Linked DNA regions of Lepisosteus oculatus. The protein of the gene in region 4 interacts with the protein of the main gene of each other region in a pairwise test. Links are inferred from orthologs where the notes say so. Each region holds a gene or a part of one and is shown on either strand. Other genes may lie near its edges. The genes, in order: shfl, immunoglobulin-like and fibronectin type III domain-containing protein 1, emerin-like and meox2a.

Evidence for each region.
Region 1: the proteins of meox2a (region 4) and shfl interact in binary tests that used the Homo sapiens proteins (3 or more experiments, as listed by UniProt). The two-hybrid records come from large-scale screens. The link is inferred for Lepisosteus oculatus from reciprocal best matches to the Homo sapiens genes MEOX2 and SHFL.
Region 2: the proteins of meox2a (region 4) and immunoglobulin-like and fibronectin type III domain-containing protein 1 interact in binary tests that used the Homo sapiens proteins (3 or more experiments, as listed by UniProt). The two-hybrid records come from large-scale screens. The link is inferred for Lepisosteus oculatus from reciprocal best matches to the Homo sapiens genes MEOX2 and IGFN1.
Region 3: the proteins of meox2a (region 4) and emerin-like interact in binary tests that used the Homo sapiens proteins (3 or more experiments, as listed by UniProt). The two-hybrid records come from large-scale screens. The link is inferred for Lepisosteus oculatus from reciprocal best matches to the Homo sapiens genes MEOX2 and EMD.

The regions. Positions count from the first base shown.
Region 1 is NC_090706.1:14,469,473-14,477,591, forward strand, and holds the start of shfl (shiftless antiviral inhibitor of ribosomal frameshifting protein homolog), read right to left. Parts: upstream 3,246-8,119; 5' UTR 3,045-3,245; coding exon 3,012-3,044; intron 2,625-3,011; exon of another isoform or gene 2,520-2,624; intron 2,477-2,519; exon of another isoform or gene 1,477-2,476; intron 1,398-1,476; coding exon 1,262-1,397; intron 485-1,261; coding exon 435-484; intron 107-434; coding exon 23-106; intron 1-22. Other genes in the region: retinol dehydrogenase 8, read left to right, coding at 6,578-6,674, 6,827-6,988, 7,428-7,607.
Region 2 is NC_090700.1:28,478,551-28,485,772, forward strand, and holds the start of immunoglobulin-like and fibronectin type III domain-containing protein 1, read right to left. Parts: upstream 3,199-7,222; 5' UTR 3,042-3,198; intron 1-3,041.
Region 3 is NC_090697.1:66,887,071-66,894,243, reverse strand, and holds the start of emerin-like, read left to right. Parts: upstream 1-3,823; 5' UTR 3,824-3,979; intron 3,980-7,080; 5' UTR 7,081-7,109; coding exon 7,110-7,173. UniProt on the Homo sapiens protein: Stabilizes and promotes the formation of a nuclear actin cortical network. Stimulates actin polymerization in vitro by binding and stabilizing the pointed end of growing filaments. Inhibits beta-catenin activity by preventing its accumulation in the nucleus.
Region 4 is NC_090705.1:2,550,203-2,557,464, reverse strand, and holds the start of meox2a (homeobox protein MOX-2), read right to left. Parts: upstream 3,019-7,262; 5' UTR 2,704-3,018; coding exon 2,187-2,703; intron 1-2,186. UniProt on the Homo sapiens protein: Mesodermal transcription factor that plays a key role in somitogenesis and somitogenesis and limb muscle differentiation. Required during limb development for normal appendicular muscle formation and for the normal regulation of myogenic genes.

The DNA.
Region 1 (8,119 bases), on a different chromosome or scaffold from region 4:
CCCTGCAGGGCCGCCAGCGTACCTGCGGGCCCCTGGGCGGGGCTGGGGCCGGGCCTGGGGCGAGCTCCTGGGACTGCTCTTCTGCCTGGAGCTTCTGAACAACGTTCTGAAACGGGACGGGCGCACACAGGCAGGGGGTAGAAAACAGAGGGACGTGAGAGCGGACACAGGCACGGCCCTCGGGCCAGACTGACGCCGGCCCACAGAGCAGGAGGTCGTCTACAGTGAAACAGTAACCCCCCCCACACACACACACACACACACGTTTCAGCTCTGCTGAACACCAGCATTCCCCTTCTTCCTTCTCTATTTTTTCCGTGTCCTCTCTTGCCCCTTTCCTCCCTCTCTCTACCCCTGTCCTGCCCCTCCATGCTTCTACTCTCCCCCCTCCCTTCCTCCAGGCAGCCCCAGTGCACTCTGGGAAGGAGCTTTACCCTGACCACCGCGTCTCTCTTCAAGCACATCATGTCCTCTTCGTCCAGCCCTGCGCAGAAGGGAGAGACCATGATGAGCTGCCCGTCCACCCGGCTGACCGCACACAGAGGCCCTGGCCAGACCTAGGGGGCCAGCAGACCCGGCGGGCCGGGAGCACCACGCCCACGCCAGCTCCCAGGCCACAGCCCCCTGGATCCAGCTGCACCGCCAGCGGCTCCAGCGACTGCCTGTGCGGACCCGCCACAATCCCTGTGACCTCATCTCTCCTGTCTGCCACCAGGGGGGACCAGTACTCTTGTTTTGAGGGAAAGGAAGGCCAGGAACTAAAAAGCCTGACTTTACAGTGTGCAATTCCACTGCAAAACCAAATCCCTGTGCCTTCCGTCTCAGGGCGGGCGATTCGCTGGCTTTCTCAACCACCCTTGCTGGCGACAGGTCACCAGCACGGCACATTCTCGGATTTTCACGCCGTCTTCCTGTGCGTCTCAGATCTTTTTGCTGCATGTGGGCCTCTCCCAGGGCGGACTCATCATGTGCACCACTGCAGGGGCCGGAGTCACCAAGCTTCGCTACAGCGGGTCACGATTGGGGGCGACCGTGTAGGGCAGGTGGAGTGGGATTCTGGTCCTGGAGGTCTTGCTGGTCACTTGGGGGGAGACGTTCACCTCATCCAGCTAAGCCAAGAAGGACCGGTGACCCTCCAAGACCAGAGCTGTGCGCCCCCTGGTGTAGGGAATGCGAGCTGCTTGTGTTGAAAAACCCAATGTGTCACAGGTAAACCCCCCCCCCCCCCCCGCCACCTCCTTCAGCCACACTGTCACCTAACCTCTGTCCTTCATCAGGATGATATCCATGGCGACCAGCTGGTGGTTGTTACCATAGCGACGCATCAGCACCGTGGCAACCTCGATAGAGACCTTGCCGTAGAACTGCTCTCGCAGGCGCCGGACACTCTTCTCCAGCTTGAGGTGGACAAGGAGGAACACACAGAGTCACTCCGGGGAGTCAGAGAGAGGAGCAGACAGGAGGAGACAGGAGAGAGGTGAGAGGAGGAGCGAGGAGGCAGGAGAGAGAGGCAGAGTGAGATAAGTGAGGAGCGAGGGAAAGAGAGGAGGAAGCTGGGACTGTTACTTCATGAACTCTCCTCTTCCTGCAGTGGAGTCGCTCGCTCTACAGACACTGCGGCGGTGGCGCTCTGTCCCGGGACCCGACTGTGACTCCTGCAGAGACAGACTCCGCTCCTTCCATCCACACACTGACAAGCTTAACAAGTACCTAACGGAGGCGGTGCTCAGCCTGTGGGGACCCGAGTCACGGCAGCCCTGGTCCAGTCCAGGTTTTACCAGCTCCTGCCTGCTGGATGTCCACAGCTGCCTTACTTGGAGGGGAACGGCGCACAAAGACGAGGAGTTACCAATATCAACATCCCCACATCCAATCATACCCTCAGAGCTGGTGAATCCTGAAATGGGTCAAACTGCTGTGCGCCAGGAGTCTGTGTCCGCGCGGACACCACACAGGGACGGTGCCTGTTTCTCAGACGTCCGGGACACTGACCCCCAGGCTAACACCTCCCATTTTGGCAGGGCAGGGCTTCATAAGGACACCTTTGCCAGCACACTTTGAAAACGCAAACGCAAAGGAAAAACCCGGACAACCGTGTCTCAGCTACCGGCCACCTCTCGCCTCTCTCCCCCAGTGCACTCCACACCGCTTGCAACAGCAAAAGAAAAAAAAGCAAAAAATAAAAGGTGGAGGGTCATTTCCTTACCCCCACCCCCCAGGGAGACCTACAGTAGCCATGACTACACTACAGCCGTCCAGGGGTGCCGGTGTTGCCAGGCGACAGACCCGGGCCCTGCCGGGGTGTCCGGCCTGCCTATTCCCTGTGCAGCTCAGCCCGAGGGATACAGTCCTCGTAACAGACAGGCGCCCGGGGTATCTGACGTGCGCCCACAAGCGCGGTGACCCGAACTGGGGTCAGTGCGTGTGCGCCTCTGGAGATGGACTGAGAGGGGCGGTTTAACGATGTGACACTTCGGTATGAAGTTCGGACAAGTGTTTTTTTTCTTTGCGTGTCACCGCTTTTCAGCCTCCTCTAAAACCTAGACGGACCGAGAGACAGGTTTGGAAATAACAGACAGTCGCACAGATCGGTAGACTGACGGTCTTACACCAGATAGAGACAGGTGGGGAGAAGTTTTTTTTTACGTTTAATAAAAAACGGGGGACGGGAACTATACGAGTTCAAAGTGAAGTTACACCGTGGCCTCCCAGCCTTTTTCCGTAAAAACGTGCCTAACAGACACCAATCGTATCCGGTTAGAAAGCCGACGCTGCCGGAGTCAGCCAGGCGCCGATTCCCCCCGAGCAAGCAGGAGGGGTGGCGCTGTGGCAAAACCCGAAGTTTAGTCGCAGAATAAGCCGTTGAACTGCGCTGTGGGTTTAAGTAACCGCGGGAAGCGCCGTCGAGAAGCACTGGTCCGCAAACCACGAAATAATAATAAAAAAACCACAATGCAGCAGAAGAAATCATGAACAGCAAAGCGGAAAAATAATTGTTCCAACTGCCCTACCTCCACCACCTCATCCTGAAGCCTGCGAGCCATGGCTCGGGTTGAAGCCGACTGTGTGTGGCGGACGCGCACGGCCGCACTGCAGCAGCTGCGGACTGGTGTTGCTACGATTAACAGCTGGGCCTGCGTTTGCACTCGCTCGCGTTCCTGCTCCTGCAGAAGCGGCCGCTGCCCTGCAGCCCCGAGCGTCTCCTTCACACCTACTTTCGGTTTCACACTGCTCGCTGGCGCAAGCGCGGCTACCGCCACTAGGCGGCGCCATTTCGCCAGGACCGTGCATGAACTGTCAGCTCGAACCACATACCTCCCTCGTACGAGCGAAGTAAAGACTAAAGCAAAGACTGCTCGGGTCTAACTTTTTTTTTCTTCTGTTTACAGAGGCCATGCGACTCTGGTGCTTTCATCTCAGCAAACAGCGCAATGCTGACTCTGCACACCGCCGTCTTTCTGTTTAAAGAAAGTTTTTAAAAGCCCAGTCGTGGCTGTAGGTAAAACGTGGAGTTGTATCCTACGTAAACATCTCAGGTTCATGTCTTGACCCTGGCATTTGTACTGTGACATTTATTTATAACTGATTTTTTTATAAAATATCGGATCCCTGAGTTCTAATTTAATTACAAAAGTACGTTCAATATTTGAACTTTTACTTGTAGTCATTCTAAACTATGGACCGCAGAATTTTTATTTTAACAAAACGAGCTCCCGATTAATGAAATAATGAAAGCAAACCTGCACAAAGCCGTAAAAAAAGAGAGAAGTCGCAACCGATTAAACTACAATCCCCAGAAAGCACCGCGCCGAGCGACCCACGGCGTTTCCTCCGCCCTCGCTCGGAGCCCCCCTCTCCACCCTCCACCCTCCGGCCAGCCTTGATGTGTTCATACAGTAGCCAGGACCAGTCTGGTGATGCGCTGTCGATGTGGGTACAGACGTGTAAACTTCTGTAGCGCAAAACGGGGAAAGTTTTTGCATAAACGATCAGCGATGGACGGTTTCTGGTGAGCTTGCAGAACGCAGGTTGGAAGTAAAGACTTTGCTGTTCTGGCAAAATTCTTCTTTTACGCGAACTGGCTGTGGCGAGCTCAGTTACAACGGCGCTTACAGTGCAGCAGCATCTCTCTTTTTTGAGTGGGGGTGGGTGAAATTGTGTTTAAGCCCCTGCAGTTTTAGATCTCTGTAAACGGAGGTGTAATTTGTTAAAACCTAGGTAATTTACCTGAATTATGGGTACTGTGCGTGTGTATTACAGTAAATGCGTACCACCGTTTAGTTTAGCAGTCCCAGAGTTTATTCCCTGTTGAAACAATCTGTAATACCGCAATACAAAAATACAGCGTTACCTAGATTAACTCTTGTTATTTTACGCCAGGACTCCAGGTTGTAACGAGGCATCTTGTACAGCTAACAGAATGATCTGTATTTTAAATGATCTGCCAGTGTGATAGACGCTGTAAGGGCAGTACTGTTATTCACTGTTATTTTCGTTGACGCCTATTAGCGGCTTCTAATTTGCTTCAGCAATCAATATGGACGCCAGCTTTACTGCTACTTAACGTCTTTATTGGGATGAGGGAAAAAGGACTGCTTCCAGAGGGATGTGAGAGTTTTTGAAATACGATGTTGAAATAAAGATTTAATAACGCGTTTCACGATCCTGCGTCAAGGAGGAAACTCAATAATATCGAATACTTTGTGATTATGCTGCAACAAGTCCAGAATGTCTTCAGTGTTTTCCCAATCGCAGATAAAGACACGCTGGTGTGCCTGAGTCGTGTGCAAGTTGGTGAAAAGAAGATGCTCATTGTATTTTGCCCTCTTTCCCACCCAAACTGTACCTTAAGCCACACACAGACACACACACACACCTGACCAAGCAGCGTCTGCAGTTCCCTGCAGCTGAACTGTTAAGTGACGACTTTGCGGGTGTCTTCCAGGTAGGGGCAGTCGAACCCCGGCTGAGGAGATCGGCGCTCCGGGTGGTGAGCGATTTCAGGTAATTTCGTTTCCCCCGCCGCGCCAAGCGTGCCTCCTCCCCGGAGCGGCAGCGATCCCTCTGAAGCGCGGGGGGCGCCAGCTCGGCCTTCCCTGCTCCCTCACACTCTCCTGGGTGCCCTGCTGACGCAGCTGACCCCCTGACTCACGTCACTGGGCCAGAGGTCTCCAGGTCGGCCGAGAAGCAGGATCCCAGCCCCTGACATCCAGGGATTGCCCCTGCTTTCCGATGGCTCAAGGTGCCACAAGCCGGCAGCCTGGAGGAGGGGGGGGCCAACCTGTATATTTTCAAATGCGATAGAAATCGGAATCAGTGCTCTGTGACAAGATGTCGCTCCAGGACTGATTGACTGATTGGGCATTAAGTCACTGGGCTGGGGCTGCACAGTGTCCCTCCCCACTCTGTGTGTGCCTCTGCAGCAACACGAGAGCACAGACACTGCTTCGCAGAGGGTACCTGTACTGCACACACGTCGGTGAAACCGTGTTATGAAGCTGAAACGCAGGTCTTGGGTAGTTCTGCAATAGCGACTCTACAGAAACCCATGACAGTGAATTCCTGACACGCGTGCTGCGTGTGCAAAGCCATTTCTGCATCTTCTTACTGCAGCAGCTCCTGCACACAGCTCCCCTGAGCTGCCACTGGTAGGAGGCTGAGAATTCATGGGGCCGATGGGCACCTCCAGGAAGGGGAGAAGGGGGGGTGACTAATGAATGTGAGGCCACTGCAGACAAAGCGCTTCCTTTTCACGGAAGGAATTAAGAGTTGTGTTGCCGGGCCTCAGGGCGGGAGACGAGCCGGTAAGGCCAGCCTTCCCTGAAAGGGTTAAAGACCTTCTGGGTAACCATAGGGATCTCCGTCGCGCCATGCTGCGACGGGACAAAGAGGATTAAAGGCTTAGTGCCAGATCAGGCTGCTCCACTGGTCCGTGTGTGTGTGTGCGCATGTGACAGGGAGGAAACTCAATAGAGCCCTGTGTTTCCCTGGACAGTTCGATTCCCCGTGACCCGGTCACAGGGGGCACGCTGTCCGTCCCGGGCTCTCCAGGAAGAGACTCCTGCTTTTCTGGAGGATGAGGAGGGGCGCTGATAGCCGGTAGCTTCCTTTCCCGGACCAGACCCTGCAGAGGAAGCAGGAACAGGGGTTGCAGTCCCAGTGAGTATGTGACGGTGACAGGCACTGCACACACTGCACGCGTTTTGGACTTTAGCTTGTTAGTTTTCATCAGTGTGATCTGCATACCAAAGGTTTTTTGTACCAGCCTTTATTTTTAGCATTATCCTTGATTGCATTATAAATGTCTCCCTACAGCTGGAGGTACAGTACTCCTGCATAGGCAGTATTTATTAGCTATTGTTGTTGAGTTGCTGGAGATAAATGTGCAGTGATCAAGTGAGTCTAGAAGTAAGAACTGTACCGAGATCATGTGTGCTGTGCTAAAAAAGTCATACCTTTCTTACGGGGCCTGGCCTACTTAACATTGATAAGCACGTGGTTTCCATTTATATCATGACAAAAAAAAAGGGCATGTGTTTTTACCTGTTGTAGCATAGGCATCCAGCAGGGCGGCGCCATGGCATGCAAGACCGTGCTGGTAACAGGCTGCTCCTCGGGGATTGGGCTAGCTGTGGCCGTACGTCTGGCCAAGGATGAGCTGAAGAGGTTCAAAGGTCAGAGGCACCTCAAGTATCATGATCATTATTGTCTGACGGTATAGAAGCTGTATTCCTACACATGGAATAACACACAGTAAAAAAAAAGCTATGGGGGTAAAAGTTGTGTAAGGGAGGCCTTTGCTGATGCATAGTCCCCCGTCTGGCAGTGGTGGCCACCATGAGGGATCTGGACCGCAGAGGCCCGCTGGAGCAGGCGGCAGGGAGCGCCCTGAACCGGACCCTGGAGATCAAGGAGCTGGACGCCTGCAGCGAGGACTCCATCAGGAGCTGTGTGGACAGCATCCCCTCCCGCCAGGTGGACATCCTGGGTGAGACAGACTTACAGGCGCACAGCCTTACGTGGGCCTTGTGCCAGGCAGAAGTTGTTGAGCTCAAAAGCAAGAAATATGCCATCTGCTTTGTCTTAATGTAATTCTTCAGGATCCACAGCTGCAGCAGTGTGCTGGCCTGGAGCAGGGCTCTGGGAACCCCGTCCCCTGCAGCTGTAAACGCTAGCCCCTAACTGGTTTAAACTCTTGTCAGGAATGACGGTTTTCCTACAGTACGTTTCATTCCAGAAGCACAGAGGTGCGTCTCTCACATAAAAAAGCCGAGAAAAAAGTCAGAAGTGACTGGCACACTGTGATGAGTTTGTAGAACCACTTCTTGCCCCGCGGGCCTGCAGAGTGGTGTTGAAACAGGATATACGATCATTTCCTCCTACTGTGCGTGTGCGTGCCGCCCTGGCATCTTGGCGTCTCTCCTCAGTGAACAACGCGGGCGTGGGCATGATCGGCCCGCTGGAGTGCCAGAGCATCGGCGCCATGCAGCGGCTGTTCGACACCAACTTCTTCGGGCTGGCGCGCCTGGTGAGGGAGGTGCTGCCGGACATGAAGAGGCGTCAGGACGGGCACATCGTGGTGATGAGCAGCGTCATGGGCATCCAGGGTGGGCAGCTGGGGGTGGAAAGGGGGGGGCGGGTCCATGCTTCTTTCATATAATTGGTAGGAAATTGACATTTACCTTCTCATGGGTGAAAATATTAGGAATTCGCCCCCTAGTGGACTCGTGGGGAAACACTCAGTGGCCTGCGCCCATTATTTCCACAACAGGGAAGTTGGTCCTCGGGCTAACCTTGATGAGCTTGTAGAGCTTGATGCTGGAGAACCCAGGCAGGCATGACCTGTAGCTTGACTATGGCTGTAACCAGTGTAGCCGGTCTGCTGCCTTGGTGCTTTTCCCACCAGGCTATGCATTGTATGACTGGCATGTGGGCCCATTTGCATACTGTGATGAAATGGATGTGCTTGCCTTGAAACCTGGGGAAACACTAGGGCCATACACAGACGATAAAAGGCCTTTGAGAATGAGAGTATTCAGAGCACAAAAGGGGAAGATCCATTTTCATGTGACTGGTATTCCTTCAGAAGAGGCCTTTTCGGAAGATTCAACATCAGCTG
Region 2 (7,222 bases), on a different chromosome or scaffold from region 4:
TACAGTAGTGTTTGCTTGCACAACAACAAAGATTAATTCTGAGATGGTACAAAATACCATAGGATGTCTTTATTAATAAGGACGTTTTAGGAAAGGCATCTGCTATACCCTACTCGTAGGTAAACTAGGCAACTGCCTAGGACCCCAGGCCTGTCAGGGGGCTCCCTTAATGGGAAATACATCATTAATCTGTACCTTCATACTGTATATGAGCAAAAAATTCCCTCCAGTGGTTCTTTGCTGTTACTGCTGTTCTAATCTAGGCTGTTAAATACTGTTAGTTGTATAATGTATAATCATTAGTTGTGAATATAAGTGTAGTAGTTTATGTTGTAGTAGTTGATGGTGGGTAGCTGCATCAGCATACGTAGGCTGCAAAGGAACAAGTAATAGGTTTATTCCATGCTGAAAAGAGAAGAAAACACAAGATTTGGCCGTGGAGCCTTCTTCAGGTGTTTATGTTACTGTCAATGTAGCAAATGAGTCTCATCTTAACTGTAAGGTGACAATATGGTTTCAGCTGCTAATACACTTAATGCTGCTACATCGAATGTTATAATGCTGAACATTTAATTTAGGAAAGTAGTAAATGTTGTGACGATCAATTTTATTAATCGTCATTATATCTAACAAGTAATGAAACATTACAAGTGACTTTTTACTTGCATTGCAAATTATGTACAGTACATGTTGTTTAAAGATTTAAAATTGAAATCTTGTACAGTAGTTGCAACTGGTAATTGACATTGTCCTCCTAAAGGATAATATACAATTTCTATATCTTGTTTGTTAGTTATTTATCATGTGTTCTTCAAAGCTAGTTAATTAATACAAGTTTTCTTGTATTAAAGTAAAATAAGGTTGTGTCAGGAGCTAATAATAGTAGTGTACTGTATGTGCAAATCGTGTTCTGGAGTGGCCCCTTTCCAAGATCTTGTCTAGGGCCCCCAAAAGACTAGGGCTTGCCTTCGCTATATCAAAGATTTAAACACCATAATTTTGTTAAGCAAAATCTTCTTAACTTGTTTGACAGTGCATACCAGTAATTACATTGTGTTTTATAAGCTGCATGTAAAACAACTCACAGACATTGAGCACTTTAATAGGGTGATTCGTTCTGATGAAAGGAATGCAGTTTGATTGGGTGGAAATCTGAAATTGCTATCGTTTTATTTATCCCCTTGCATTTCATAAACTTGCTTACCTGCAACTCCCTCTTAATCCAGTTAAGTGAAGCAATTTCTCACTTTTCTACTTGATCTGCTGAGTAGTGGGGCACAGAAGCTGATGTATTGTACAGTACAGTATGTTATCTAAATGGGTACTACACTTCAGTGGTGAATAAAGAGAGTACCCTCTTTTATGTAAAACATTTTTCCTAAATGACCATTCATGGTCCACAATACCAATGTTTCTTCAGGTACTGAGTTCCAGCTTTTACAGGTTTCGGTGTCAAGAGTTCAAGTGACAAAGAAACCAGAGGACTGCAGCTTTCAAAGACTTAGCAAAACCTTAGCCTTGGTCTCAAGATTTGAGTGGAAAGCAACAATTCAAATGCATTTTGTGGTCTTGGGGTGAATACTGTATGGTGTGTTGTTATTCTTGCAACTAAAATGTTAATGTGATAAATTTCTAGAGCTTTTTACATAGGCTTTTTATCAACAATTAAATCTATGTGACACAAGCTACAAAACATTATGTCTTTGTAAAAACTGGTAAACTGGTAAAACTGGTAAAAACTAAAATAATTATATATTATCAGCCTGGAAAAAATAACACATTCCTTATTTTTAGAAAAATCTGAGTGAATTTTACCAAAGCCCCTTCCCCATATGATAGATTTTAAAATATTTTGTGTATAACGATTCCAAAAGCAGAAAAATTAATTCTAATATATTGTGCATCACTAAAATAAACATTTGAAAGTACCCATGAGATTAGCTTAATATGAACATTTTACTTGTTTCACAAAATGAAGATTGCTCTGATCTGTGCTTTCTAATTTTGTCTGTCTTCTCCAAGGAATCTTCTCACTCTCGTGACACTCAGGCTGTACTCAGCAGGCTCTTCCTTCTATAGTTAGCAGTCGTTTTACAACTCAATAGCAATGACATCATGCCACCTCACTAAAGTCACCATCCAGCTCTGGAGGACCACAGCTCTGACATTAAAACTGAGAAACACATCTCCTCAAAATGATACTGTGTGATGTTTCCAGTCACCTCATCAGCTGTGTACATCAATGGGTGTAATACTATTCAGGCATACAAGCATGCTCTATGATAATTTCTATGATAGAATTGTCTGTTTCAGTATACAGTAATCATTTAAATGATTTCCTGAAATCGGTAAAGAGATATAAGAGATATAACACTGTATGCCAGGTCACTTTGCATTTTACACTTTGCTGGTCCAGTGATGTTGCACTTTCACAAACCTAGAAGCATTTTTTTTAAATGTGCTGTAGTATGTTGTTAACATAGTAGTTAACAGTTTACAGCTGAATTTGTCATTTAGTTGTCTTTGATATGAAGTCAAAATTAACATTCAAAGCTTAAAAGGATTTTGTTTTTAATTTAATGATGGCACTAACAAAAAAAAACATCCAGCCAATAATATAGGCAGTAATAGTGCATTATGATAACATTTATAGTGTTTTATATGCTTAGGTTCTGTATACTTACTGTATATAAAAATTGGACAAAACAATTCTTTCATGAATACTTGAAGCACTAGTGAAAAAACTATTAGACTAGCAGTTTTTGCAAACAAACTGAAATAAAAAGACTAGAAATTCACACACAAACATACTGTTCCTTGAAAACTAGTAAGCAAGAAACAAGTACAATAACGTACTTACTGTATATGCATTATAAACAATGTAATAACATATATTGATATGTTGTATGTCAGATAAATATTTATATATTAAATTTGCTATGTATATTGTATATTGCATTGTATATTGCATTACGTATACAGTATGTTACAGACATATACAGTACACTATATGGGAGCAGATAATATGTATATAGCCTTACCTGCCCCCTGTCTTCAGTGCTGTCAGCTCACTTCAGCTCAGCTCCACTACGACCTAGACTTCTGACAGTGTCTGATATTGGTGTGCTGCCTCACTGTTCTACTAGTTAATAAATCCAGTAAGAATATGTGTGGTTCTCCAGCAAACTCCCTCGTGCTTTGACCCAATGAGTGGCGAAGAGAGGTCTGTCTGTTCGTATTTAGGAGAGGTGAGGGGGCTGAGGGGGGTGAGGGGAGGGAGGGTAATTACAAGAGAATGATTCCTGGGTTTTTTAACTTCCAAGAACTCAGAGTGCCCTTTGATGGTCTATCACACTCATGGCTGTTTTTAAAGGTGAACCCCAGGGTTACATTTTTCTTAACCTCAAATACTTTTTTTCTATTGATTAACTGTCTGATGAGCTGGTTTAGCACCAGCTAAATGAATGGTCAATGGCGATTCAAAACCAATTAAAAGTATTAAATTTCGGCAGGTTCTTGTAAATGCCAGCAGCAGGCAGGTTTCTGTCTAGGGTTCTGTTTTATCAGCTGTTTGGAGTGGCAGAGTTGAGTCAGAGATCCAAATATTGTACATATGGGAGTAGTGCAGTCTGAGACGAGCTAGAAGATGAACATACTGTAGCAAGGGGAACACATTCTGTCTTTGAAATGGAATGACATGTAACAAAATGAAAATAGAAATTAATACTAAAATATATACAGTACTTTCCTTTGTGACTGCAAAATCTCCAATGTACTTTTCTTTAAAAAAAAAAAGCAGTTCCAGTCTCCAGGACAAAAAAGCATTTAAAATGTATTAAGTTATTCAAGTGAACAGTAGAGGACAGAGTGGAGGACAGAGATCAAAGTACATTACTTTTACCTGGATTTATCCTCTCTTCCTGCTCAGCAGAAGATGTTTAGGCGCAGCAGAATAACCGTAATCAATTCACTTCTCAAACTACAGACAGTAACCGTAGAAACTGCTGTGTTCTGCAAGACCCTTTTTCAACTTGCAGTTAAACACACCTATCCAAGCTATCAAAAATTAATTTTAAGGTCTTTGTTGCAGTCAGAAATGAAAATAATAATAATAATAATAATAATAATAATAATAATAATAATAATAATAATAATAATAATAATAATAATAATACCTTATATAGTGATTTTCTAGACACTCCACTTAAAGCAAATAACATGTAATGGGGATTCCCCTCCACCACCAATGTGGAGCCCCACCTGAATGATGCAACTGCAGCCATAGTGCGCCAGTTCACTCACTGCACATCATCTATCGATGGGGAGGAGAATGGAGTGATGAAGCCAGTTCATAGATGGGGATTTTTAGAAGGCCATAATTGGTAAAAGCTAATGGGAAATTTGGCCAGGGCACCTGGGTAACACCCCTAGTTTTTTCGAGAAACTCCCTGAGATTTGACCACAGAGAGTCGTGACCTTGATTTTATGTCTCATGTGAAGCACAGCTCCTATTTACAGTATAGTGTCCCCGTTACTATACTGGGGCATTAGGACCCACACAGGCTGCGGGGTGCACGCTCCCTACTGGTCCCACCAACATCTTCCAGCATCAAACTTTTCCCAGGAAAACCTTTTCCCACTTTTTTTCACAGGAGGTCTCTCATTCAGGTTCTGAAGAGGCTCACACCTGCTTCGCTTCGGTGGGTTATCAGTTGTTAGTTGCAGGGTGATAAGGCTGCTGGCCCACTTATACAGTGACCTTCGTATTATTCAGGAGTGACATGATTCCAGAATTAATACGCAGTGAATTTCAAACAAAGATTAAACCATGACAAACAAGGAGTTTTCAAAACAGCACAGGGATAAAGTTGGTCAGGGGATAGAAAGATCCTTAATATTTTGTTGAGCATGGTTCAATGATCAGGCTGTCCCATCAAACTGAGCAGCCAGGCAAGGAGGAAACTGATTAAGGATGCCACAACGACACCAATGGTGACTTTGACAGAGAGTTCAGTCACTAAGATGGTATATCAATATCCAAGTCATTCTACAAAAGGGGGTTGCATGGAAATTTCACATAAACCCAAAATTCCACATGGGTTTTGCAACAAAACTCCAAAGCATGCCATGCAAACATTGCAAAGGGTTTTGTGGTTAAACAATACAAAAAATACTTTATATATATAATTTTGGTCACAATGTAAAGAATTACAAAATCTAACACAGAGCATCACTCAGTCAACACCACTCCTATGGTCAAGTGTTGTGATGGCAGAATTAGAATAATGTTGTAATTTTGCTTCTCATCAGCTGAGACTAGGATGTTTGTCAAGACTGATGGGAACATAGAGTAAAGCACTATTAAATTTACTTCTAACCTAAAACTGAGAAAAAATGCACCTTTCAGCAACAGAATGGCCTAAAGCACATGGCAAACGTTACACTACTGGCTAGTGTAGTGGCTTATGCATGAGAAAGTAAATGTCCTAGAAAGGCTCAGTCCAGGTACTGACCTGAATTCTATTGAGAATTTGAGGAATGAAAAGAATTACTGTCCCTAAGTGATCCCCAAGCAACCCAGCTTGAGCACATCTGAACAGAAAATTGGGCAAACATTGCATCGGTTCTATGTGAAGAGTTGGTAGAGACTTAACCAAAAAGACTAATGGCAGTAATTGAGCCAAAGGTGCTTCCAGCAAATACTGAGTTCAAGGGTTTGAATACTCATGTAAAAAGCATATTTATTTCTTTATCTTTAATTTCTGCTGACATTTTTTGTAACCTACTGTATCGTATCCTTAGAAGTTTTCGGATTGAGCATTTGGAATTTGAATAAAATATTAAAATAAAAAACATGTGATACATCAGTTTGTGTTTTCACAAAATAGTACACCATAGGAAGAATTTGAATGCTTTTGTAAGGAAAAGGAGTTGACATTCACTGACTACTCAAAATTGGAAAACACAAACTTATTAATAGAGATACTAGAACTACAGATAATATTGCACTTTTTTTTCTTTCAGACCCCCACTTTGATAAATCATAAATCATTTTTTTAAATAATATATTTATTCATTTCTTCTACAGGCATATACTGTACTGTTGATTTTATAGGTTTTATGTGTCACAGCACCAGCTAGCAAATTAGCATTTAAAGGAGGAAGGTTGTGGCCCTCACTGACAAGACTAATATTGTGTATATCCCTAGATATAATCTATGCAGAGATAACAGAAAAAAGGAGAGTCTCAGTTTTCACTTTTACTTTAAATATTATATATTTTGTGGATGACTTAGAGATGGTGGCATATCAAAATCTTTGAACAGAAAGGTCTTAGGGAAAGTATACAAAAAACACAGTTGAAGAAAAAAAAACAATGCTCTTTTGTTCTGGAGTGTGAGGAAATAACAAAATAACACAGAAAATGTATTATTAGGAGTCTAACTGCACTTGAGATACATTAATAGATTCTATAAGAATCTAGGCAGATGATTACCTACATATATACATAAGACTCTCTTCAAAACTCTTCCATAAAAAATAAACTATAATATCCTTCTTATAATGATATATAATAAAATATTCCTAAAACACCTCACATCCACTGGCTTATTAGTTGTTTCTCAATTATTTCTCCCTTAAGTGCGGCTGATAACAGAAGCTACTCTAACTTCCCAGCTAACAAAGGAAGTGTCACCTGAAAGGAAGCCCCTTGGAAGTCTGCCTCCTGGTTTTAAGTATCACCTAACCAATTTACTTCCTCCAATTGGTTAGGTGATTGACAGTGACAGGTACTTCCTCATTGCTCCGAAAATTTATACTGTAAAAATCCCTGCAATTTTACAGTGGAAAATTTAAGACCCTTTTAACAGGGCCTGTTTGGTCAATCCAGCACTAAATCAGTTAAAACAACACAAATAGGGTCCATTAAAGACTTTGATAATCCATGAAAGTCCAGTACAGAATTTCCTTAAAAGAAACCATGTTGATGTTTCTTACCAGATTGATAAAACACATTAAGGGTGTATGTTGGCCTTAAGGAAATCCCCAGCAAAGTTCTTGGATTTGCCTTGGATTGTCCCTTTTACCTCACAAAAATATCTGAAACAATAATCCTAAAATATTTATTAGAAAATTCTCAAAAAAAATTACAAAAAACACAAATATACTGTAAATCCATGTCACAAGAAACATCCTCCTAGTTCTCATTTAGATTATTTGC
Region 3 (7,173 bases), on a different chromosome or scaffold from region 4:
CAAAACCAGAAGTTTGTTCTTTATGCTTAGTGCTATGGATTTTTTTTTTTGATGGTTACCTGTTTTTGGATTTATGCCCAGGATGGTAGTATAGCTGCTAATTTGTCTTAATAGAATAGCTAACCCTGTTGTAGGCACTATTCTAGTTCTGAAGTGACTGTCCATCCTACATTTATAGACCTTTTCCTGAGTGTTCAGAATCGAACTGGATTCCCACTGGAGGAAAAGGCAAGTCAGATTTTGAACCTCTAGGACACTTAACTAATATTACAACTGTTAACAGAATCGTCGTCAAAGTACTCTTTACCTTAGAGACCGTCTGCAGATGTTAAAGGGAATAGTCTAAATTCTTAAAGATATTGCTAAATTAAAATTGAGAGAATAGAAGATGTCAATGAGAGTAATGTACAGTAGTATGTTAGGAGTTAGGTGGTTATATGGTGGTTGAAGACTTGACACTTTTCCAGTTTGATGCTTTTTGTGAACAAACATGGTTGTGATATGCAACAAAAGGTCACTGTCACTTTCCCCTTACACTTTTTGTACTTTTTGTCCAGAATATTCAATGTCTTTTGAAAGAAAATGTACTTTTGAGGAAATAAGCCTTTAAGAATGTTAGACTGTTACAGTATTTTGATACACAAAGTTGTCTTAAATTTTTACTGTTTACCATTAAACTTGAAAATGGCTTATTGGTTTTCGTTTCTTTTATTTTGTGGCGGAGCTTAAACAAGATGGTATTCTGAAAGATTTGAATGTGCAGATTTTTCTGGCTATCCAATGAGGAAGCTGGATTTTAATATACTCTGCCTTTTCAGATTGAATCTTGTTTATAATGCCAGTTCAATCAGATTTTTTTTATTCAAAATTGATTTGTCATTCTGTAACTTTGGTATTTGAGAAATAAGCCCAGCTGAAAAGTCTTTCCCAAATTCCTTTACTGTTTTCCATGGTTGCTTCCATCCACAGTTCTGAGCTCCTGCAAAGGATCTCAATTTTAACAGTGCTCTAATGTTCTACATTTTAAAACCCATGTCAAACTTTAAAAAGCACAGAAGCTAATTTTCAGAATGTTGCGACAATGGTGTACCAACAGTTACCACTGCCTACAAGGAATGATCTTCAATTTCTTCCATTGAAAACTTCAGATTTAAGGTTATTTATACACTTGAGTGTCTGTCGGCTTCTATGATGGTCTTAACTGTGCAAAAGGGGGGACAAAGCTTTTGCTTTCGAGTTATCCTGATTATCTTTCTCATTTCTTAACTTGCACATCAGCCGTTTTTAGCCTTCCAAATGATCAGTTGTTCTTTAATAAAATTATGCTTTAATACAAGCTTGTGTCCAAGTCTGTTTTTTTTAATTAGGGCTATAAGAGCCCAGTTTTGGCTGCATTTCAAATTTTGGTTTGTAGAGTTCTGATGGATACTTATGGGGGTGGTATGAATTCAGTGCTGCCCTCTATTGCAATATACTGTAGATCCTTAATGTAGATGGTTCTATGTTCAGATTGCTAATATGACACCATTTAGTTATTCTGCACACAGGGATAAAGATGATCCTGGAATTTTTGTTAATACCTTAAACACTTATTTTCCCTGGGAATCGGTTTGCCATTTAAAGCTTTAAATATGGGTTACATAAACAGGCTTTCTACTTTATTTGCAGGTTGTAGCTTACACATCATAGGATTGTATAATGTATTGCTCAAAGAGGGGCAGGTATTGTAACTAGCAGTAAGTCGGTTACATTAGCTTAGTCTTCACATGCACATGTACTCATTTTTAATTAAAAAAAGGGTTAAATTTTCCTCTTCATGCATCCTTAATCGGTGTTAATTAAAGGATCTTTGAAGTCTGGATCTTTCTTCTAAACGTTGTGCCTTCACTGCTGTGGATTTGATAATGCCAAGTCTTAATCACTGCATAAGGTCTTCAACCTTGGTACTGGAGAACCAATCCAAGTTGTTTACTAGGCCACCAGTTTTTATAAATTTGACATTTGAGAGCTATGGATGAATCTTGCAAGTAATCTGTACTATTAAGTGAACTTGGGTGCTTGAGTGGTGTAAAGTACTTGGATATTAATTAAGGAATTGGAAGTTTTAAAAATCACCTGTTTAATTGATCAGAATGAGTTTGTTCTGTAGCTTGAGATATGGCTAATTTAAATTTTAAAGGTGACCTATGCTATCTGATGGATTGGGGCTCTCTAGGACCAGGTATAATGGGTACCTTAATATGAATTTGAACACTGGTCTCAAACCCAATTCCTCAAGGACCTACCATCTTCTGGTCTCACACACAGGTGAAGGTAGCTGTAGCTTTAATGTAAATGGTACACCAAATTTTAGACAATTGCACACAATCTAATCTACTTCATATTTGCACATGTAAATACTTAGAATATGCACAGCACAGTTCTGTAATCTCCAGGTGAACATTGCCCTCAACCTTCTTCACATATGTGCTCAGCCAGTGCTTACCTATACATCTTTGGGAATATTTTATAAATTCTTTAGGGAATATGTTTAGGAATGTGAGTGTAGTTGAGGCACAGTGCATGACTGCTCCTTTTGACACCAGCTTTTGCTGTTGGGACTACCTGCTGCTACAATACTCACCCTGTTAAGATAATGAATGTGAGACCTTAACCAGCCATGCAGAAACTTCACATGGAAAGAAGTATGACAAGGCCATATTTAATGAATGCCAAAACTGTTTTTTTTCCCTCTGGGTGTGAACATTTCTCTTTCCTTTTAATTACTCCCCCCTTTAAGTATTGGAGATCCCATTCTTTGCATTTGTTGTATTTCTGAATGTTTGGGACACCCAACAGGAACATTCAACCACCCAGAGGTACTGAACTCAGATTGGTAGTGGTCTGTAGGCATTAGCTGTTTTTACTGTTACCCTAATGTGGGTAAAGACTAAAAATACACAACTGGTACAAATCCGATGGGTATGAAAATAACTTGAATACTAATAATTCAGGAGATCTGTCAGTGTTGATTATGTGGGTGTAGTGAGCCTGTACATAGGTGCTTGGTACAGTATCTCCCATCAATCTACTGAATTGTTAAAGCATATGAATTAAGCTCTTACAATTCAGTTTATGCAAGTAATGTGTTATGGGTTGTAAAACTTCACAATCATGTTATTTGCTTGAACAGCAAATAAGGCATACAGTAAAATGGGTTTCAGGTATTTTGTGAGACCTTCACCTTGGATCCTCAGAATTTGTACTTTTAGTCATGTAAATTAACCAATGTTTATATCATTATGAGCTTATCACTGACATCCATAAGGGCCACTAAACCACAAACCAGAAAACAAGGTGAAACTCCAATGGGGATGTACAGTACTTTTAAAAGTAAGAACAGTAGTCACACTTTTACCCAAACGGTTGTGTGCGTATGAAACATGCTGAACAGCTATGTTGCGGAAGCCGATACCTTGGTAGTGTTCGTACAGTAGGTGTATTTTTTTCGTTCAAGCTAAATCTAATGATAAACACACTGGGTATATTATTTTTTTCTTACCTATGCAGTGAGTTGGAGTTCCAGACAGAGGGCGTATTGAAGTAGCTCAGCAGTGGATTGCACCAGATTTGAAATACCAAAAAAAGCGGGAATACAGTACATCGGTTTTACAACCAACGCCCTAGTTTCTTCACCCAATTCACAGCTGGAGGAGAAAAAAAAAAGCTCTGGAAATTTTCGTTTTTCCTTATTAGGGTAACAACGAATTGCACTTCACTCTATTGTAACAGGCGAGGGCGCCAGTGAGACGCTCCTCGTTGACGCAGCAAACTGTGGGCCGCAATCACATGCAGTCGAGAGACGTTCACCATTGGAGCTACGGAGAAAGAGCAGCTTCCGATACAGAGCTTTCGTTTTTCAAAAAGGAGAGGTGACATTACTCGGGAATTCGCTGTTACAGAAAGAGTAGTTATTTGCTTATTGCTCTTTGTCCTGAAGGTAAGATGCCTTTTTTTCAAATAAGATCCTTTAGCCTTGTTTCTCTGGGGAGCAGAGAGAGGTGTGTGCTGCGAGAAACGTGTCCCTGCATTAGTTTAATAGAAATCAATTGCCGTTTGCTTCGCGGACCTCCCATTTTATTTTTTTAAATATGAACAACGCCCTGTCGCTGTAACGTAGTTAGCTGGATTTGCAACACTTATGAGCTGACGTATATTTCTGAATATATTTCTACTTGGTAAATCACAAGTTAAGTTTTGGAGTTAGCGTATTATTGAGGCACATGGCGTCTTTGCGAAGTGATGCCCTGTATTCTAGCCATGAATGTCCTCAAACGAAGTCGTTTTGATTTTATGGGCAGTCGCTTGTGTAAAAGAAGTGGTCTCATTCTAAAGTTTTTTGTCCTTGTGCATACGATGCGTGAATTGAATGCACTTTGTTTTGCTTGTTCTGTTATTATTTTACAACATTTCAACAACTATTCATACAGTGTGTGTTGTTTTGTACTGTATATGTATAGGTTTTATTTCGTAATCTGTAATCCCCATTCATTTTTTCTTAACGATCACCACGAAAGGTTGGTATATCATTTTGTCCTAAAACTAACTTTTAGTTTTGACACCTTTAAAGTTAAAGATTTAACTCGTTTGTCTCCTTTTTCGTCTGGAACACACTAAAAGAACTGTTGTTTGAATCACATGAACACATGAAATTATCTACTGCTGCTTAAATCGTACAAACATGGCTCATTTTAGTTATTGTACTATATACTAGTAATGATGATATATCCATTCACGGGGGGAATGCTCATTGTTTAATTTTAGTTTGTTACAATACATTGTTTATATAAACCTCGGACCTTAGAGAAAGATAAAACTGAAGTTCACATTACCATAGCTCAACCATTTAGTTGAAGTGAAACTGGAAAGAGATTGTTGATGAAAATATTATTCAACAATATAGCCTATAGGGATTAGATTGTGGAAATAATCTTCCGACACATATACCTTACATGGAAATTATGAGAAGAGCAGGCGATATCGTGTGGACATGAATTTATAAAGCTTCGGTTTTGGGATTGTAGTTCATTCCAGAAACAACCCGTGATTTGTAAAAGCTCCGTTTTCGGATAATCGCAGGTTACACTCTTTCACTGAAAGCAGACTCTTTGGTCTCTCGGAAGAATGTACCAAATTACAAGCAACAACCACAGCCTTACCTGGTTTATTTAAGAGTGAACTTAGTAAGATAATAATAAGATATACAATATTTAGTTAAACTGTGAATGCGTTTTAAACCGATAAGTTGCAGTATTATTTTAAACTGACTGATTCAGACATTGTTTGTCCTGTATATCATGACACATTAAAACTGATGTTGAATCCTTTTTTGCAGTGATGTTATCTTTAAATCTGTGTGTATCTTATTTTTCCAGAGGCTTGAATGTCAAGGCCCATTAAGCAAGAATAATAGTCATTATTGATTATTTTCTAACATGACCACACTGATCCGTGTTACCTATACATTTTAACAGGCTAAATACGGTGAGGTTACAAGGCGGAGATATGGATCTTTTCATTTGCTTTCTCCATAAAACAAGTCATAATTTATTTCCTTTTTTCTTTCTTTTGTTTATCCTGTAAGCAAATCATCAATCATCTTAACCAGAGCCTTGTCAGTACCATACAATAGCCTAAGTCAGGGTTCTCCAAACCAGGTCCTTGAGAGCCCCAATCCAGCAATTGTTGTACTGTAGTTTACTATTAAAGCAATTTCTAAAGATATGAAACAATTCCACTGTGGTCAGTTCAACGGTCAATTTGTGAAACTATGTAGAGTTCATTTATGCCTAGACTTTATGTAGTGTTCAGCCCTGGAGGACTGCAATGCTATTTTTATATTTCCAGGAAAGACTCAGCATTGATGAGTGCATTTCAAACCATGATGAAAGTAAAATGTACACAGCAATGTGTAAAACTTCCTATTTACATTGAAAAAAAATAGAAATTTCCAGGTATGTGCAGCGCTAAGTTCTGCGATTTAGAAAGAGACAACAAAACTTCTGGTGAGGTGAAGTGGCCATATTACATTGTAAAGATGCAGACTATTGAATGCATCTCTTTTAATCCAATAGAAATATTGCTCTCGATTTCCAGATTATTTTGGCGCAAGAATACTACTTGTTAACTGCGTGCAGATCACGTTGGAACAGTTCTGCGCTGAAATGACTGCGGCACAACCTGTAATTAATTGGTCCTACGTTGCATTATATATAGGAAGCATGAAGGTCTGCACCACGTCACAGTTTGTACAAACTCTCTCTCTTGGCCGTGGCAAGACCAGGAGTTTGCTACGAAATGGTGACTTTACAGTACTTTCACAAAGTTCACCATTTTGTGCTTAACTCGGAATTTGTAAAATTTTGCAATACCTTCTATTTGTTCATGTTACTGAGATTTTAAAACCAGTATGAGGAATTGGGACTGCAGTTCTCCTTTAAAAACAGATGACCTATAAGACTACAGGAGCTGGTGTGAGGCTCTCCAAGACTAGGGCTCTAGAGTTCTGGCCTAAAGTCATGTAAATTTAAAGAAGGCCAGCCAGATTATATGCTATATTTGTGTTGGAGGAGAGCACAAGTGGAGCAGACTGAAAATTTGAAGGCAAGAGAGGGAAGCATGAGGAGAACAGACTTGGAAATAAAAAGCAACAGAGTTGGGCGGGAGTAAAGAGCATCTGATCCCTGGGCAGTCTTGTGTGCCCACTGTGCTCTGCCATACAGGAGACCCCAGTGTGACTGACATTCAGCTCATACACTTGGAGGAACAGCAGCTGTTACTGGGTGTGCCCATAAATGCTACACAAAGATGTCTGGGGTATGATTTTGATACGTGGCTTTTTCAAAGTAAGCAATGGGTAAAAACCCAGCTAAAGAAAATCAGAGCTTAAAATATGACTGTCCAAGTTTTAAACATCTCAGCATCTGCATATTCTGCTGTTGTCAGTGTTGCAAAATGGTGACTAGCGTCCCAGTGTCCTAGAAACACAAATCTGGTCACCTACCCCTTCAGTGTATAATATCTCTTTTTTCTTTTTTCCAGGCATCTGAGAGCATTGCTTCCTGACAGACATGACCAAACTCAGCAGCAAGTCCGATCAAGAAATCATTGATCTTCTGGACCAGTATGGACTGA
Region 4 (7,262 bases):
TTCCGTGTTTGAAAATTTCACAATTACAGTCCTATGTACAGGTATTAATCTTTTGTTTCCTATTTTACACCTAGTAAAGTTCATTATCAGATGCTAATGCCGGAGATGACAAATTTGAACAGTTTTCCTACATTTTAACTATCACTAAGTGACATTATTTATAACATTGAAAGGAAGTGCTGACTTTGAAGTCAGACTATCTTGTCACTGTAGCGGACATGGAACGTGCTGAATTTGATGCCTGGGGTTTTTACAAAGATTTTTTTTTTAATCCCAACTGTTTTCTTAATCTATTGAGACAAAAATGAGCAGTACAATTCAGAATATAATTTGTGATTCTTTCATTAAATGCGCTATGTTAAAATATTTAGGACAACATTGCTTTAAAATGTTTGTGTATTATACAGTTCACAATAAATCCTATTTAACAAGGTAACACTATTTGTTATTCTGCTCTAGTAGTAAAACTGGAGAGTGTAAAAATCTCCTCTTTATTTCAGTATCCCAGACAAGTTAAATGTACATAACTGAATAATTGTAAGTTTACAATTTTACAATTTTTCTTCAGTAGAGAAGTACATACTGTATGGAATGGATGCTTTTGGGGGGCATTTTGTTCAGGTTAACTAATGACAGACAAAAGTGTAAATTTTACAGGTCTGATGGAAATAGTAAACATTATTGGAGCTTCTGTTTCTGTTAAAATAGTTTTCCGAGATGCACTGAAAACTTTTATAACCCTTATGTTTGGGCTGCAGTGCCATAGATTTTTTCCAATTCAATCCAGGAATATTTCTATGATATAAAGCATATAATTGAGTACATATTATCCTTTCTATCAGTGAGATTTTATCAGCCTTTTTTTATTATGTGTATCAGATTTTAATCTATTTGATTTAAATTAAACGTTCAACTGCAAAATGCAAGGAAAACATGTATCAAGCACTTTGCCCATCATTTCATGATCGTATTTCAAATTAAAAATAATTGAATTACCTGTAAAAACTTGGGAACACACCCTTGCGTAGTTAACCTGATTAGAAATCTACAGTATTTATAAAATATAACTGTGGACTTTAATAATCAGCATTATCATGTGAAAAATCCTAAATGTTTTGGTAATGTGAATTTTATCTTATTTAAAATACTAAATACCAAAATTCTTTCGAATATTTGTGAATAATTCTATAGTTATCTCTGTAAACATAAATAATTATCCGATTGCCTCAGATGCTTAGTCTCTTTCAAGTTTCAGTCTTTTCAGCCTGACGCGGTATGAGCCATTACACACAGATGTCGGAAAAAAATTTAAAGGAGGCCCAAGATGTTCAGGTGTTAAATTTTACATTTTCGGAGAAGGTTTTACAACTCCTCATCATTTTCCGTGTTAACGTGCCTCAAAATGAATCTGAAATCAAATATTTTACGTGAAAGTGTCAACAAAGTGGTTCACTTGCAAACTAACTAAATGCTGAAAAAAAGTACAGTACCTGCTCCTTGAAACAAGCCAATGAAAGGATCTTTTACGTACTCTTACCAACAGCTAAAAGTTCAGTTCAAAAGAACAGAATCAAGGTGCCTGCCAACATTTCTAAGACATGCAGGCATGATAGTATTCCAAATCTTGTATCATACCTGCCTGCTGAAATCTATTCTTTAAATTAAACTAACATATTACAAACTGTACATATTTTATACTACTCCTTACAGATCTTCTTAGGACAGTGTGTGAGCAGCCATTACAGGTCCTTACACCTCTCACTACACTACACTTTTTATTCTTTCAAATTGAGCCCCGCAAGGCTCCATGTTCTGTCAAAACTCAGTTAACAATCTCGTCATTGAGAGATGGACATATTGTATTATTCCCCCACAGGGAAACAACATTTTTGTATAATGTTTTCAATAGCCCTGGGAATCCATAAATGAGAATATTTTCCACAAAACGACTGCGCATTTGCAATACGAGTGGCGGAGCTCAGCCTTCAGTATGCAGCTGAAATAGACAGGCTCGAAACTTTGCCTGAGATTCTGAATGCCAGCAGTGAGCTTTCCCCGCAGCAGATACTCTTTAACTCTCTGGCTCCCGCAGGGCGAGCCCCGAAGCGCGCGCGTGCGTTCCCACATAGGGAACGAGCAGGTCGGGGGGTGAGGAGAGGCGAGGACGGCGGCCCCCCCAGTCTTACCTGAGCCATGGCTTTTCCTTTTACTGCTCCTTTTCTCTGCCTCTGCGGGAGACAGCGCCTGCCTGCCGAAGTCCCCAGGTGCGCAGGATGCCCCCGTGGGGGTGGTGCTGCCCAGGCTGGGTGTGCTCGCGCACAGGTTCGGGGGGCTGGGCCCCAGATCTGTGGCGGCGGAGTCCGGGGGCTGCAGGCAGAGGCTGTGCCGGGTGGCAGCGGGAGGAGAGGGCATCTGTGGAATGTGCCAGCTGGAGGGGTGATGATGCTGCTGCTGCTGCTGCTGGTGGTGGTGGTGGTGGTGCTGCTGGTGGTGGTGGTGCCCTCTGTGATGCTGGCTGGCGAACAGGCCCTCATCGTTGGAATATCCAGCTATGATGCAGGAGGGCGAGGAGGTGGACAGGTCAGGGTAAGAAACGTGGTCCGTTCTTCCGTGGAGGGCCAGGGAGGACTGCGAGAAGGCAGGGTGCAAGCCCTGCGCGGGGGCATGAGGGCTGCGCAGGCAGCCGAACAGCGTGTGATCCATGTCATGCAAACGTGAGGTTCCAGAGAGGAAAAGAACGAGAAACCGGGAAAAAAAAGCAACACAAAGATCCCAATAACGCCACCCCTTTTTAGTTTTCACCTCATATACTCAACTAACTTTTTTTTCTCCCCCTGAAAAAGACAGAGGCAAACTTTTTTTTCTGCAAAAAAGGGAGCTCCTCAGATAATCCAGATCATTCACGACAGTTGCCAGGCTGCTTTGGATAAACACAGAGCCCAAGATAAGCCGCTGAAGAGATTCTCAGATGACAGAAAGGGAGGCTGAAGCCAGTGGAAGGTGGTTCCAAGGAAGGGCTTTAAGGGGGGAGAAAGTGGAGGGGATGTTATAAATAGTGTGTAATGTGAGCTGGAGGCTGGGTCAGAGACTCAGTACTGACCACATGCATATGATCTGCCTCCAAAAAGCAACTTACAATAAATCTGCAATATTAAAATGGTTATGCCTTAGAAAAGCATGCAATTTATTTTGGACACAGGCTACTTGACCCCGGTAGCACTTTTTTTTTCTTTTAACCATTGCGTCAGAGTGTGAGATGAAAATGCAGCGCAAGAGTTCATTAATGTGCTAATACTTTTGTGGTTTTAAGTAAAAAGTGTTTTTTTTTACAACAACTGCTATTAGACTTTTGCAGTGTTCTAAGTATTTCCAATGCAGTTTGTGACATCTTTCCTACTGCACTTAAACCTGTTATTACAGGCATTAGATCTGATTCTTACTCGTTAGTATAGTGTGTTAATTTTGTTATTATTCAGTGTGATGATGATGTGAGTTAGTATTTCTTCTTCTCGCATCTTTTTTAAAACATTATTATAAATTCTAAATGAAATACAACACAAATTGGATTTTCTACATGAAAAATGAATATTATAAAGTGAATATATTTAGAACACATTACAACATCTTACAGTATATTGAATTGTTTATTCAGTTTACAGAGTAGATTACTGTCTTAATATGAAAGTAGTGACATTTCAATCTGCATTTGAGAGAAAATAATGGACATTTATGATACAGTACCTGCACCAGTTCAAGAAGATTGGGGTTATTCCCCCAAAAGCACCCTACAGTAGTTATTTAGTTTGCTTGATGCTTTTTTTTTTTCTTATGGCTATTTGCACCCACTGGATACAGCTGGTTATTTTACAGAAACAGTTCCCGTGAAGTACCTTGCTCACAGTTACAAGAGCTCTGTGACGTGAATCCAGATGTGAATCCCGACTGCTTCTCGGGTCAAGCTGTCAACGAGTCAGGGAGATTACATCCTCCAAAGATGTGTGCAGTGATAATTTAACATGTCTTAAAAAGTGACAAAAGTTAAGTTGCTGTTAAGAGATATGTGTACCATATCTTGAAATCAAGTTAAATAGATATATATATATTTTTTTAATTACGTTGTTATCATCTATTGAAAGGTTATCTGTATTTTTAAATTAAAATTTTAAATTTAAAGCTGTAAAACACTGGCTATTTCCTTTACAATAAATTTAAAATTGGACACCACACAAGCTACTGTTAAAATGGTTGATATTCATTTTAAAAAGTCTTTTAGAAAATGGGGTGGTGGTGTAATACATTATGTTAAATTGGGCTTCTTTCTTCTCCTACACATCTGCATATGTTCCTCAAATGGATGAGTACTGTATATACAGTACGTGGCCACTGCACTCCCATTAAAGTTCTATAGGCAAATCGTTTGGTTGTACCACATTTATGAAGCTTCCTTGAGAAAGGAAATTAAATACTTTTGGGGGGGAAATTACTTTTGCAGACCTTGAAGAATTGACTTTCTCATTATTGCTCCACCAGTTGTCTGAAACTGTGCAGAAACACCACATTCAAGACACGCTGGTGAGTTAAAAACTGTGTGTTTACGTTACAAATTAGGGCAATTAGTCCCGACGTAAAGTTATATGTTTATTTAGTCATTCGTCCCATATTAATGCACATGTGGTTTTATTCTTTCAGCATCCAGCTCACCAGGGTTCTTTGGCATATCAGAAATGTTCTTGCATTAAACTTTCTCTTGCTGGCTCGTGGTTACCCCTGAAGCTTTAGTGATTTCTCTTGTAAGTGTTATATGTGAAGAAGAAAGCACTGGTTATGGGTTTGTGAGTATTAACATTTTTTTAGCAACCCGTTCTTGCAGGATTTTCATTGTGATGTTTTTGAGTATGTTTCTTCAGTTACAGTATAGTAGGTTAGATAACTCCCGCATCACACACTGACAGGCTCCGAGTGTTAGAGGTTGTTCAGATTGCACCATCCCTGAAAACCTGCTTCTGTCCGTCAGCTGTGCCTGCTGGGTGTGCAGTTTGATAAGGGAGGATGTGGCGAGAGTGATAACAATTTGAAGAACATGAGTTACAGTCTGTATGATACGTTCTTTGTAAACAAAACATCCTGTATTTAAAGCTGATCGTTTTAATTGCATTAGCTGATGCACCAGCTGTGCATTTCATTTTTTAAAAGCTCAACTGCCCCCCAAAAAAGCCCATCTTATATAAAGGTACTGTTTGCTCAATTGTAACTAAGTGTATTTTTTATTTACTGTAAATTTTCTTCTACAAATTTCAGATTGTCAATGAATGCCAATCCAGCATATTTGGACTACTGTATATTCAGCAGGCGTTTAAATTCAAGCAGAAAATAATAAGTATTAAGAACCAGTTCACACTTCAAACTTTACTTTTAAACTTGTAAAAGTATAAGACATTTTATGCATAATTATAGTTTATACATTTTATGAATGATTATATTACTGTGTAGAACACAATACAAATAGGCAGTTCAAAAACACTTTCTGTTGAACATTTCTATTGCAAAAAAACAAGAACCGAAATAAACCACACCAATTCCAAATGTATTTTTGTGCTTCCTCTTGAAGTGGTGCTATTTCAATTCATTTGAAGTGCTGCTTTACAGAGACACTTCTGAGATTCAAGCAGAAAGGGCTCTATGCGGCTTTCTGTATATAACATAATGGGTGGCTTTTTTAACAATTCAGTTATACGAGTTCATGAAAAGCTTCCGTCTCCTATAAAATACACTTTGAAATGAAATTGTTTTCTGAAATAACTTGTGACTTGATGGGTGAGAAAGCTTTAATGAGTTATGTGCATTTCTGATGTACGACAGGAGTCAGCAACAGCACAATGACAAATGAAGGAATACAACTGGCTTTATATATTTTATGATTCAGATAATTCAGCAAACAATTTTAACCTTTTTACCTAGGATACATATTAATTCCTAGCACAATGATACTGTAGGTACATGACAGGTATTGTTTTCTTATTTGTTTTCATGGTCCCAGATTATGTGCATAGGTAAAAGAGGACAGTTTTTTACAAAGGACTTCCACAGAAAATATCTTGTTTTTTTTTAAATAATACCTATTTGAGATTTGTGACTGCATACTTGCATAATTGAATGAGGAAATACAGTGGTTACTCTTATTTTAATAGCTTAGAACTATCTTATTTTTCTTTAATGACAAAATGAGCCCTATTGTAGATGGGCTTTTACAGTTGTTTCTGTTTGCCCTTCTTTTAGTGTCTAATGTGCTTTTAATACTTGCTTGTGAAGTTCTCAGGGCATTTTAATTACCATTTGTAAACATTAGATGAAAAGCAGTGTAAAATAAACTAAATTCAGAAAGTTTCCATTCTCCTTATGCCATCAAAGCACCGGTCTCTTTTAAGTATTTTTTCAGGATATCACTCTGAGGAGACAGATAAAATAAGTCCTTTGGCAAAAATAAATTATTTAAATACTTCACTAGTGATTCAAATAAAAATCACAATTCTAAAGTAAACGTCCTTTAAAAAAGGTACGCACATACTGAAAGCAATAATAAAATTACCAAACAAAAGAGGAGGAATCTCTTATATGCTATTAATAATATTAATATTAATAATGCTATTAATAATATCTCTTTATATGCTATTACCTTTTTAAATATTATATTACTTATTTTTATTAACGATCAAAAAACGGCAATAAAAAAATCAGAAAATAACAAATGTCTTATCCCCCATTCCTAAATGTCATTATAATATACAGTACAGTATGTTATATAGACAATATGGTATTCTTTTCTAATATATGTAAGGGTTTAAAATTGTTGCTGTTTTAACATTGAATGGACTCTTAAGAATGAGACTCTTTTTAAAGCAAATACAATATTCTTTCACGAGTTTATATCCCAAATGTATTTAGAACCATCAGCATAAAAATAAGCCATTAATAATTTTAAACTATAGTATTATATGTCAAATTTAAACTTGTTTTTTTTTTAGTTAAACTTTCAGAAATTGAGGTAAAATTGTTTTGTTTACTACAGCAATATTTTTTGTATGGTTTAATGTCTGAATTATCTAAGAGCATTTTTGTATTTGGAACAGAAATCCACAAACAGAACTGAATATGTGTACAGTATTTCCTATGTCATAGTTAAAACATTTAATATGTCATTTATACTGTTCAATATCCAGAAATATGAGATACAGTGTTAACAAAATATAAAATTGCATGTGGAC